Linked DNA regions of Oryzias latipes. Each later gene encodes a partner of the first gene's protein in a complex. Links are inferred from orthologs where the notes say so. Each region holds a gene or a part of one and is shown in the gene's direction. Other genes may lie near its edges. The genes, in order: samhd1, ccna2 and dcaf1.

Region 1 (4,094 bases):
ATGATGACATGGAAGGATAAAGGGAGGCACTACCTTACCTGCAGACCTTGATTTTTTATACACATATTTATAGAGAGTAGTCCAACTTTTGCTCTTGTTTGGTTTTGTCAAGATAAAGTTAAAGTAAAATGTCTGTGCATTTTGTCATTTTGCTTCTTTAAATTTAAGAAGCATCTGATTGCATCTGTCGTTTTAAATTGGCATCAGTTGTTTAATCTACGTTCCGGATTATGCAGCAGTCCCTGTATGTAAATCAAACTACACTGTTTTTAATTTTTTATAAGTGCTCGTTGTTTTTGTTTTGTTTTTTCTCTAATGCCGGATGCTGAAACAGCCTGCCAATATTTTATTTCTTTTTTCATCTTTCGGTTTCTTTATAGTGTTCATAGGAAATCCGTGTATTTTATTTAGAGGAAAACAGATTTACAAATTAGCGAGAATTTACGGTGACAACGCTCCATTTACTGCCATGCGCGATTTAAGACTCCAAAAGCAGAAGTAATCTTGCTCCGCCCTCCTCACGTCACTGAAAGCGCGAGCGCGGATAAAAAGATGCAAATGTACCGGAAGTAAGCCTTCTATCTACCCCGTATCCTGTCAAGATAAAGCCACAGTTGTTTGGTTAATAAGAAAATATGGCAGTCCAAATCTCTATTACTGTCAATGGGTATACCCTGGATATACATTGAATAGGGTCACTGATCCATTGATTTTAGATATTTTTATTCCCAATTTACCCTGTGATTGTATGTCTTTCTCTCCCCTCTTAACTTGAGGTCTGAAAGTTTGGAATTTGCAGGAACCATTCTTCCAGATGAAGCACAGCACTTATAATTGTAGCTCCCACACAGACCAATGTCTGTCAGACCTATGGTAGTTCCTGATCTTGAACATTGTTTCTCCCTGGTGATGTTATTTTTTGGGATTGCTCAATTTATCAATAGTAAGGCATTGTCTCTGTATTTTCCAGCATTATTATGTCCTGTCTCTAATTCAAAACAAATTTAAAGCACAAAATTGTGACTTTTTTTTGACTGCAAATTAAGATAAGGCAGTGTTTTCATGTTTTATGCTCTGAAGCAATAACATACCAATTAAGACAACAGTCGCTACTAACAGAGTTTCATATAAAATGTTTAAAACTCAAATGTCCCAATGTTTTCTTGAGACATAATTTTAGCTCAACACTCAATTGAAAATTCTAACGATAGTTTTATTGTGAAAAACAGAACCGGAAAGCCCGGTTCATGAAGTGATGCATTTAGAGGAAACACAAAACCCGGGATCTTTCTGTTTGGCGTGCTGCGTTGGACACCGGTAGATCAGTCGTTGAAATCGTCTCAAGACACGTTGTTTGCGACGTTGTATTCGCCCTATTAGCCGTCGATTAGCTGTCCTTTGGCCTTTTTCTGCATGGAGAACAGAAAGCGACCGCTGGACTCCGTGTTGAGCTCCAACGACCGCTTCAAAACCCCAGAGAAGAAGAGGCTGTCGCCGGTCCTGCTGCCGGGGTCTGACCTGCTGCAGTGGGGAGTGGAGGAAACCTGTCAGTTTCTGCGAAAGGAAGGTCTCGGGGAATGGGAGAATGCATTTAGAGGTGAGGTGTGCTGTGTACCTGCAGCTTCAGTATGTGTACACCCATGTTGTTGTTACTTTTCTTTTATTTGTTTGTTTTGCTGTGTTAAGCACAAAGAATCACAGGCGTTGGACTGCGCTATCTCAATGATGCAGACCTGAAAACAATAGGCATAGAGTAAGTGTAAAGAGAGAGAAATGCTTATCTTTTAGACCCCTTTCCCTTCCATCATTTGTCACAGTGTTTCTCTGGTTCATACCTGTGTGATCAAACCTTTCAGGTGTCTTGGTGTCCGCCTGCGCATCCTGCACAGCCTCAGGAAACTCTGGCAAATAGACACAGAGGCGAACAAGGTAAAGGCGTATGGGCTTTGAGGTCAAATGAGTTCACTTTCACCTTTTGGTGACCTCTGAGGAAAAAAAGTATTTGCCATGATGTTCAACCCCAATAGAGAAATCTTATTATGCTTGTGAGTTATGTTCTCTGAAGCTATGCACACACCTGGCATTTGATGCAGGTTCAAAAACACACTACATGCATGTTCTTCAGCGTGCATTAGCCCTTGGTGTTCACACTGGACAAACAGGGAGGGGCTTGTTCTTCTTTTTTTCCTACTGTTTACTAGCGCATGTTCACCACCTGCTGCTGGGAAAATCTTGGTGTGAAATGTCACAGTGGCCTAAATCAAGCGATTTGGGCACAAACGGGAAAAGGTTTGGTTCATTTCTAGCATCCTGACAATGGCAGATATGGATTACCATCATGTCAGGAGAGTAGCCTTGGTTTTTATATTTATTTGACAAACAAACGTCGTCAGGCTTGTTGGTGTGTCTGGGTTCATCAGATAAACCATATCCATAAGTCACTGCCAAGTGCAGGTCAAAATTTGATCTGGTTTACCGTTTACTTGCAACGCACATTCCATGGCCACACATTTTGTTTTTGGGCCCAAAGTGATTGTAAAAGCTTGCATAGATAGAGCGAGAGCTTTGAATGCAGAACCCGGAATGCGTATTTACATAGGCTTTTTATTGGAAGTACTTGAACGTGTGTTGCCGAGGGCGATGTGAACGTAGCTTCATACATCAAAAATGAGGATATGAGTTGTTTTCTATACTAATTTGATTTAGCTCCAGTTTTGGATCAAGCTTGTTGTTTTGTTTTGTTCCAGGTGTTCAATGACCCCATTCACGGCCATGTGGAGTTGCACCCCCTCCTCATCAAAATTATTGACACGCCACAGTTCCAGAGACTACGCAATATCAAGCAGCTTGGAGGGACATACTTTGTTTTCCCTGGAGCATCCCACAACCGCTTTGAACACAGTATTGGGTACAAACAGAATTAGATTGGAATGAATCAGGGTTTTTCACACCTTGATTTGCTGTTATATACAACTAAGGAGTAAAAACATATCAGGATTAGGGTTTAGACAGTCTGGGTTAGTGCCTTCAGTAAGTTATGGATATGGCCTTTGCCTAGAGAATTATATGACAAACCAGGGAATTCCTTTTAAATAATTGTTTGTTTTTAATCCTAATTTATGAAAGTGTTTTTCTTTCTTTCTTCACACAGTGTGGGTTATTTGGCTGGACAACTTGTTCAGGCTCTAAATGAAAGACAGCCTGAACTGCTGATCTGTCATAGAGACATCCTATGTGTGCAGATTGCAGGGCTCTGCCATGATCTGGGTGAGTAGAGAATCTGCAGAAAAATTATTCCAGATATTTTTATTATTATTATTTTTGCTAGATGCAACAGCAAATTAGTTATTTTCAAAGCCATCAAAACTTTTCTGTTTTAGCACACAAAAATAAAGACAAACAAAGTCACGTTTTATAAAAGTAAAACCTGATCAATTCATTGAACAAATTCATTTACAAACTGTTCTGTTTGTTTGTGCACCAAGGTGCTCATGATGTTGTTAATTCTGTTTACATTTGTCCTGTTGACCTGTATTTCAGGACACGGACCCTTTTCCCACATGTTTGATGGCATGTTTATCCCTAAAGCCTGTCCACAAGTTAATTGGAAGGTAGGAAAGTCACCTTGTTTCAACTCCTTTTAGAGACGAGCTTTATCTTATCTTAGTTGTGTTGTGACTCACAAAATCAACACACCAGTGCAGACAGGGGTGCTTTGCAAATGACAATAAATATTGATGCAGAAAATAAATAGCTATGCTTCTACAACCACAAATCTTTCAGCCAATATTTGAAGTTTCCATGCTAACTCAATTAACAGATCTTTTGACTAAATTCTTTTTAATGGTTTAGCTATAATTTCTGGGAAATAGTTTTGCAGAAATGTTTAGTGTTTGCAAAAGTTGTTTTTAAGAGACAAACGGAAAGCGCCTGGAGCCACTGATGAGTCATTGATAAAACACTAGCACCACCCTAACAACAGTTTAACTTTGCATCACATGAATGTTCATGTTTAATATTCCTAGAATCTTTGTATGAGACGAAATCTTTTCTTCATGTTGGAGACAAACTCACAAATTTACTCTCTTTCTTTT
Region 2 (4,258 bases), on another chromosome or scaffold:
GAGAGAGATGGAAAATAAGCGAGAAATGCACTTTAAAGAATGTATATAATTGTATTTGAAATAGGCAAAATAATATATCACAATGGGATATATAGCTCCTACAATGAAGGATGTCTTATTCCTATTTTCTGCTGAATTGAAATTAAAATCAGGAAACCAGCGACTCTTCTCTGTGAAGGTTTGATGTTTGGTGATGTACTTGAGGTTCTGTACATTCACTTCACCCACATCTCTTCTGGAATTGTCAGGAGCTTCAGGTTCATGAGGGAAACGCCAGTTTTCTCATACCAGAGTATCGAAGCATCTTGGATGAATCTGCCAGTCTTCTGGAGGAATACAAGAAGCAGCCAGCACATCTGGAGAGGCTTTATGGTACATTGCAGAAGCCACATTTATCTTAATTTCTGTTGGTCTCCTGACACTAATTTCTATTTCTTTATATTTGTTTTTCCTGCAGGAATGATCACTGACCTCTTCATTGATAAATTCAAGTTCAAAGGCCAGAATGTGAAAACAAAGGTGTCATCTCTGTTGGAGATTCTGGATAACTATGATCTAAACTCTCTGTTAGAATTTTTCAATGATGTTTGAGGTTGGATGAAATAAAATCCATTCACGTGTTCTGCTTCTATGTTGCATCTTTATGTAATGACAGTTATAGTTTGTGTCATGGTGCCATGCTGTTTTCAGAAGCTGTCGGTTTCACAATCCACAATTATTTCTGCTTAAATCCAGACTTTATAAATTCCTCCAGGTAGTTAATACAGACTCCTCTTTTTCATTTAATAACATATCACAGGTTCATAGACAGAAATCAAAGCTAAACGGACTGCATTTCTATATGAAAATCTCTGTGAGAAACTATTTAAAAATGAAATAGTCAAAAGATGTCATATGATTTTTTAAAGATCAGACCATATTAAACTATGTAGAAATGTTTTGTGGTGTTTTTCATTGCCTGTTCAATCCCCACAACACATGACTGAACACATCTTCAGTGACGTGCTTTGTTCTTCTTTATTTTTATTATAATGGCCATTAAACCCTTAAACAGAGAATCCAGTGTATTATATTTGGAGAACCTTTTCCTTTAAATGAATCCTTACTAACTGCAGGTCAAATAAGCTCATAAGCACTTGAAATCTGACAACACTTCAGAAAGTGTCGTTTTATTTTAGTTTTTGTAAATAAACACGCTCAGAAGAGTCTGCAGACGGTTAAAATCCACGGACGTCGTCCTGACTGCCGTCTGCTTGAGCAGGGACGTTTCCTTTCGTTTGCTGCTCTGTGCCGCTGCAGACAAACGGGTCCAACCGGTTTTGAATTTGCAATCAAGACATTTGTACCACTGCGGCTCCAGTAGTTTTGCAGCGTCACCATCTGTGCGCTTTGTGATTGGTTGGTTCAATCCTCGCGGGCTACTTGAACTGAGAGAAAGCAGAACCCTGTTCCTAAATGTCTGCTTGCTAGTGGTTCGTGTCCTGGTCGGTTGTGCTGTGGACCCGCGTGACTATGGAACCGTAGTGTGTTTGTGTCCCGCGCTTTGGAATCGCTCTACCGCTCACGCGCTCCTCTGCTGTGGCGCTGCTGTTCTGTTTTTTCGTTGCCATCTCAACTGTTTAGTTTTGAGTTTATTCGGCTCCACTTCAGGCTAGCACCCGACCCGATCCCCGCTACGAACGACGAGGGGTCCCGAAGAGTTCAAAGGTCAAAGCCAGCAGCGAGTGTTTGTTGCAGGAAACATGTCGGCGGCAAACCGAAGCGCGGCGAGTGAGCTCCAAAACCAGGAGAACATGCCGTCCAGCAGGCTGAGAGGCGCCATCAAAGCCCGGCCTGCAGCCAGCGAAAACCTTCCGCCCAAACAGGCTGCCAACAGAACCGTGCTGGGAGCTCTGCAGAACCACCAGCGGAACAAAACCCAAAGCCTCCGCGGCGCAAAGCAGGTAGCATGCCGCCGCACGGCCCGCTCCGCGGCGGGGCGCCAGCCGCCGGTTATCCGGCTGTGCTCCCGGTTCCTCACGGCTGTGGCTCGGTTCTAGCACCGTGATAACAGTCATTCGCCTTTAGCATCTGAACCTGTCTTAGATCTGCTTCTGGAGATGGTCTTTGTAGTTTCATGTTCAGTCTGTGCGCCATTTTAGCCTCACTCCTCCTAGTTTACCTTACAGACTGTTCTGTCTTCTGAAGCAGATCTGCTGCTGTTTGCCTTCAGAGCAGAAACTCACCTTTCTTGTGTTCTGTTGCCTCCAGGACTCTGCTCTACCCTCATCCTGTAAAGCTGACGATTATGGGAAAAGCGTCCTGGAAAAGCCGCCTGTCAAGCAGCCGGCCTTCCAGATCCACATGGATGAGCCTGATGGCGCCTGCACCAAGAAGACCGTGTCTGAGGCCCTCAGAGCCAGGGCCCCGGCCCCTCGCTCTCCTGTGGCCGTCCACAACGCCCTGACATGCCGACAGCCCCTGGCTGCCCTCGATGTCCCGTTGGTTGTGGAAGCCGGCTTTGGTGGGCTGCTGTAGAATCTTGGCTTGTTTAGTAATGACCGATGTTGGCTTTGGTGTCAAAGTGAGGTGTCATCATCTGTGCACTAAATGACTTTCAGATTCTCCCATGGACATGTCGTTGGTGGAGGTGGACGACAAACAAGTTAATGTCAACGAAGTCCCAGAATATGCAGCTGAAATTCATTTGTACCTGAGGGAGATGGAGGTGAGAGACTCTCCTTTTCCTTTCTTCCCCTCCTGTCATCTCTGCTACAACAATCGGGTATTTGTTTCAGGTGAAAACCAGACCGAAGGCCGGCTACATGAAGAAGCAGCCTGACATCACAAACAGCATGAGGGCCATCCTGGTGGACTGGTTGGTGGAGGTTGGAGAAGAGTACAAGCTCCACAATGAAACGCTGTATCTGGCCGTTAACTACATTGATCGCTTCCTCTCGTCGATGTCCGTCCTGAGGGGCAAACTCCAGCTTGTTGGGACTGCTGCCATGCTGCTGGCTGCGTATGTGCCAATTATCCTGCCCAGGAAAACACGACTAGTTTGGTTCGGAAAGGTTGAATGACTTTGTATGTGCAGGAAATTCGAAGAGATTTACCCTCCTGAGGTGGCAGAGTTCGTCTACATCACAGATGACACGTACACCAAGAAGCAGGTGTTGAGGATGGAGCATCTGGTGCTCAAAGTCCTGTCATTTGATCTGGCAGCACCAACGATAAACCAGTTTCTTACTCAGTACTTCTGCCACCACGGCGTCAACAAACAGGTGGAAAGCTTGGCAATGGTGAGTGTTCATGTGGTCCGTCGTGTTGGTCTACAGAAGCATATGGATGTGCTCTGACGGTGCTTGATCTGTCCTCAGTACCTCGGGGAGTTGAGTTTGATAGATTCAGACCCCTTCTTGAAGTACCTGCCATCGCAGACGGCGGCTGCAGCCTACATCCTCGCCAACCATGCAGTGACCGGCGGCTCTTGGGTGAGACTATTTCCCTCCAACTTAAGTTAGGAATGTGAAGGGTTATACGCTTGAATGTTTTGGTTTGAGATGCTTTATGGGGACGTGGGGCTGTTTGTCACATGCCAGGCTGAGGCTCATGGTGGTTGTGGAAATGTAAAATTGGTTCACTGACATTTTCTCTGCTCTGCTCCAGCCCAAATCCTTGGCAGAGATGACGGGCTACATGCTAGTAGACCTGATGCCGTGCATCGAAGACCTTCACAAGATGTTCCTGAGCGCCGCTCAGCACGCCCAGCAGTCTGTCCGCGAGAAGTACAAGGCCTCCAGGTGAGCTGCCGTACTTTGATTTTGTGTACTTCTATTTAAGGATCGTTGGAAAATATTTGTATTACTCTAAAAAAGTATCAGAGGAATCTGACAATTTCTGAGAGCTCAACTAGCAGTAAAAACTTCCCAACCACATTTTTTTTTTTTTACAATAAGTAACCTTAAATTCAATTAAATGATGGCTAAAAATGTGTCTTTAGTTGTACCGCGAGATTAGAGGTGTTAAGATGATCGGATAATTCTGAAAAGTTGCATGGAAACAAAAGGCGGCTCCAGACTCCAGCATCTTCACTGTTGATGGTAAACTCCTTGGCCTGTTACTCACTTCAGTGACACTGCAGGGAGGAACATGGTTTCAGAAATGTGTAGCATTTGTCCTCTAAGCTGAGAATGTTGTAAAAATCCTCAGTCGTGTAATCAGAATGCAGATTCCTGAAGGCTGGCAGTCCTCCAGGAGACGCTGTCGTACTCTGACG
Region 3 (3,250 bases), about 1.6 Mb from region 1:
TTTTGGCTTGCCTAAGTTTCCAAAAATAAGCTATGTTATTGTCTTTTCAATAGAACCAAGACTCTGTCAACACTGACACTGTGTGTCGCCTCTATGAAGTCGGCCGGCAGCGACTTGCAGAAGAAGAGGAGGAGGATGAGGAAGATCAGGTTAAACTTTTTTTTTTTCATAAAATCTGAACTGAGAAGCAGATCTTATACCTGCACTTTATGACTGAAACTTTAGTTTTGTTTTTTGTGTTGCAGGAGGATGATGACCAAGACGAAGACGATGACGATGATGACGATTCTGATGATGACGTTGATACGGATCCTCTCATTGCTGAGCTGGAAAACGAGAATGGAGGAGAGGATGATGACGATGACGGCAATGAAGCATTATCTCCATCCGATGAGGAAGTCGCACGCCTTCTTGAAGACGATGGAGACGTCGAGGAGGACGATGACGAGGATGAGGATGAAGAGGACGATGATAATGAAGAGGATGACTCTGACAATGACGATGCAGACCTGGAAGGTGACAATGGTGAGTATAAGTGAGCAGTCTACACATTTCTATAAGTAGTTTTTACAAGTTGCTGGAAGAACTCAGTTTTATTGACTCAAACAGAATTTTCTGTACTTGAGCGTGAATTACATATTTTCTATAAAGTAAACCACAACCTTTGATAACTTATATTATTAGGGCCACTGTCTTTCATCTAATCAGTGGTGCTCATCAATGCATTAATGAAATGAACTGCCAGTTTTCTTTTGCTATTTGTATCACAGCAAAAGAATAAAAAAGAACAGTTTGAATGATCTGGCATAGATTTGACCTTAAACTCAACCACCTGATTGCTTCCACACAGCTGATTGTGGGGAATAATCGAGTCCTTCAGGAATGTTTTTCATAGAGCTCCCTGAGGTGGATGTGCATTTATTTTCTGCTGCACTTTCAAAAAGGTTTTCATTTGGGAGTCATTCCTTTGTGTTTGGGTGCCTGTTATGGTGCCACATGATTCCAAAGTGGTAACTGCTGTTTAATTTTTAAGACTTGCAATTCAATTCATATTTGTCAGACACTTTGCCAAATAAAGAGAATTAATTTAAAAGCTACATAAACAGTTTTATTTCATATTCCTTCAGTAATAACACATTTTTTCCCAGTCAGAAAAACATGTTTCAAAATCTTTAGAGTAAAGCCTCATTGTTGCCTGTTTAACTTATTTTAAGAACAGTTTTAAAAAAAAACGTTAACCTAACCTTAAGCTTCCTCCAAAAAAAGGGTTTTGCTTTTTGAGTGACTATCTTCTATTTTTAAAAATAAAATTTGAATATTTCAGAAGTAAGTTTAAGAATAAAGACGCAAGTAAACCAAAGACCTGTATGAAAATAAAAAACGAATTAGAAAGCCTTCACGTTTGCTCTTCTAGTGTGATGCTCTGACCAAATGTTTGTTGTTTAATATCCAAATCTCCATTTGATCTGCTGCACCAACAGACAGCTCGGACAACTCCGATCTGGAGGATGACATCATCTTATCCCTAAATGAGTGAAGATACCCCCATCGTCCAGGACTGTGGGGTCCATGGAAAACCACAGTTTATTTGTCTTGATAATCTACAAAAGTCTCAAACACAGATGATCCTTGGTAGGAAAGAGCAGAGAAGAACATGGAGACATGGCATTGGGCAAAAATGATTGTAAAGTATATAACTTTCTATTAAAAATTGGTTTGATGTGTTTAAAAAGGCCACTATGTAGATGTAGTGAAAAAAGGTTTTAGAAGTTCTCACTTTATTGGCTTTTTAAAAAGCCAGTTTGTTTCAAATTGATTCATTCTCTCCATCTTTGAAGACACAAAGTATGGTTCTTCTCAACTGACTTTTCCTTTTTAATTCTCTACCCATCCTGACTGAAGGACAACATGTGAGTTGCAAGGCAAGTAGTTTGTCTGGGAAAAAATAAATAAAAAAAACAGCCCAACAACATCCGTGAATTAGGCAGCTGTAGGGATCTTAACACACGGGGCTCTTGATTGCCAAAGAGCCACTCAGCAGTTCCAATAATAGATGTTGTCTCCTGATTTTGTTATGTAAACAGAAGAATTGGATCAAGCTGTCACTCCAGCGAGTGCAGACATTGTAACAACACCAGTGACACAAGTTCACAGCCGTCCAGCAGGCAGCGGATGTCTTTAGCTCCTTACAATCTTATGGTTGAGCTCACAAAGTGATCCGACTTCCATGGATGCTCGCAGGGTTGGAAAAATGCAGGGTTTTGTGTGCTTGGAACCAGCACAGGTCCAGTTATTTAAATAAAGTTCAGAAAACTTTGTTTTATTTCTCAAATCTCATTGGTTATTGAAGTGAGTGGTTAATTAGCGGACTGATGGTTAAACCGTTTCAATTCTTGGAATATTGAGAAACTGTGATTAACGCTGCAAAAATATGCTGTGTGTGAATTTTTTTTTCTTTTTCTTTTTCCCCCCTGACATGTTGGATACTGTCATTTTTGAAAAAGCAAAGGCTTAGCACACGCACACTTTAACGCAGTGCAACATGGTATACTTTTTTGGTTCTCTTGTTTCTAGGATTTACTTTTCCCTTTTGGAGACCTTTGAGTTTCTCAACACATTTACTGTACAGGTTGTATGTATCTAAAGTATTTTTACTATAAATAAAACGGAACAATTTGTGCTTTGACTCCTGTGCTTTTTTTTGAAGAAGAGTGACCCATGTTTGCAGACAAATGTTAAATCTGTTTTTTAAGAGGAACAGTTCAAATACAGCAAAAGTTAAACACATTTTCTTATTATACAGTGTGATGTGATGATGCAACAAGGGGAGGCCAATTTATTTATACTATTATGCAATAAAGTTCCTTAGGCTTTTTCCATTGTGAATTTTAAAGACAAAACAAAAACAGATCATTTGAATGAATTAGTGCAAATCTAATGTTTGAAGGAGCATAGGGATAATTTCTACAATGGAATAGATGGTACCTGTTTATCAACATTGGACTCAGGTGATTCAAAAAGCTTTCAAAAATTCAAATTATACTCTGACATTGACATTGGTTTAACTAACTTGCTTTATTCCTATACATTTTAGTTCATAAATCCATCTTTTTTCCCCTCAAAAAATACAGTGCATTTATTTGCCTTGACAGTTGGATCACAAATGTTTTTTAACAACTTGGTTTTATTTTGAAAGTTAGTTTCACCCACATTTGCTGCATACTTTTATCATATAAATAAAAACCAACAA

Evidence for each region.
Region 2: the proteins of samhd1 (region 1) and ccna2 are in contact, whole or in part, in a cryo-EM structure (PDB 9HIW), measured with the Homo sapiens proteins. The link is inferred for Oryzias latipes from reciprocal best matches to the Homo sapiens genes SAMHD1 and CCNA2. Residues at the interface, in NP_056289.2 of Homo sapiens: Lys615, Ser616, Arg617, Val618, Gln619, Leu620, Phe621, Lys622; in NP_001228.2 of Homo sapiens: Met210, Ile213, Leu214, Trp217, Glu220, Val221, Glu224, Arg250, Leu253, Gln254, Tyr280, Ile281, Thr282, Asp283, Asp284, Thr285.
Region 3: the proteins of samhd1 (region 1) and dcaf1 are in contact, whole or in part, in a crystal structure (PDB 4CC9), measured with the Homo sapiens proteins. The link is inferred for Oryzias latipes from reciprocal best matches to the Homo sapiens genes SAMHD1 and DCAF1. Residues at the interface, in NP_056289.2 of Homo sapiens: Ser616, Arg617, Val618, Gln619, Lys622; in NP_001336097.1 of Homo sapiens: Asn1090, Glu1091, Asp1092, Thr1114, Gln1116, Asn1132.

The regions. Positions count from the first base shown.
Region 1 is NC_019865.2:14,692,152-14,696,245, forward strand, and holds the start of samhd1 (deoxynucleoside triphosphate triphosphohydrolase SAMHD1), read left to right. Parts: upstream 1-1,253; 5' UTR 1,254-1,413; coding exon 1,414-1,597; intron 1,598-1,686; coding exon 1,687-1,753; intron 1,754-1,856; coding exon 1,857-1,929; intron 1,930-2,747; coding exon 2,748-2,908; intron 2,909-3,151; coding exon 3,152-3,267; intron 3,268-3,540; coding exon 3,541-3,611; intron 3,612-4,094.
Region 2 is NC_019868.2:207,643-211,900, forward strand, and holds the start of ccna2 (cyclin-A2), read left to right. Parts: upstream 1-1,374; 5' UTR 1,375-1,742; coding exon 1,743-1,943; intron 1,944-2,250; coding exon 2,251-2,503; intron 2,504-2,600; coding exon 2,601-2,707; intron 2,708-2,777; coding exon 2,778-3,001; intron 3,002-3,076; coding exon 3,077-3,281; intron 3,282-3,359; coding exon 3,360-3,473; intron 3,474-3,648; coding exon 3,649-3,782; intron 3,783-4,258. Other genes in the region: bbs7 (Bardet-Biedl syndrome 7 protein), read left to right, coding at 249-372, 458-591. UniProt on the Homo sapiens protein: Cyclin which controls both the G1/S and the G2/M transition phases of the cell cycle. Functions through the formation of specific serine/threonine protein kinase holoenzyme complexes with the cyclin-dependent protein kinases CDK1 or CDK2.
Region 3 is NC_019865.2:16,270,482-16,273,731, reverse strand, and holds the end of dcaf1 (DDB1- and CUL4-associated factor 1), read left to right. Parts: intron 1-53; coding exon 54-149; intron 150-245; coding exon 246-525; intron 526-1,481; coding exon 1,482-1,537; 3' UTR 1,538-2,686; downstream 2,687-3,250. UniProt on the Homo sapiens protein: Acts both as a substrate recognition component of E3 ubiquitin-protein ligase complexes and as an atypical serine/threonine-protein kinase, playing key roles in various processes such as cell cycle, telomerase regulation and histone modification.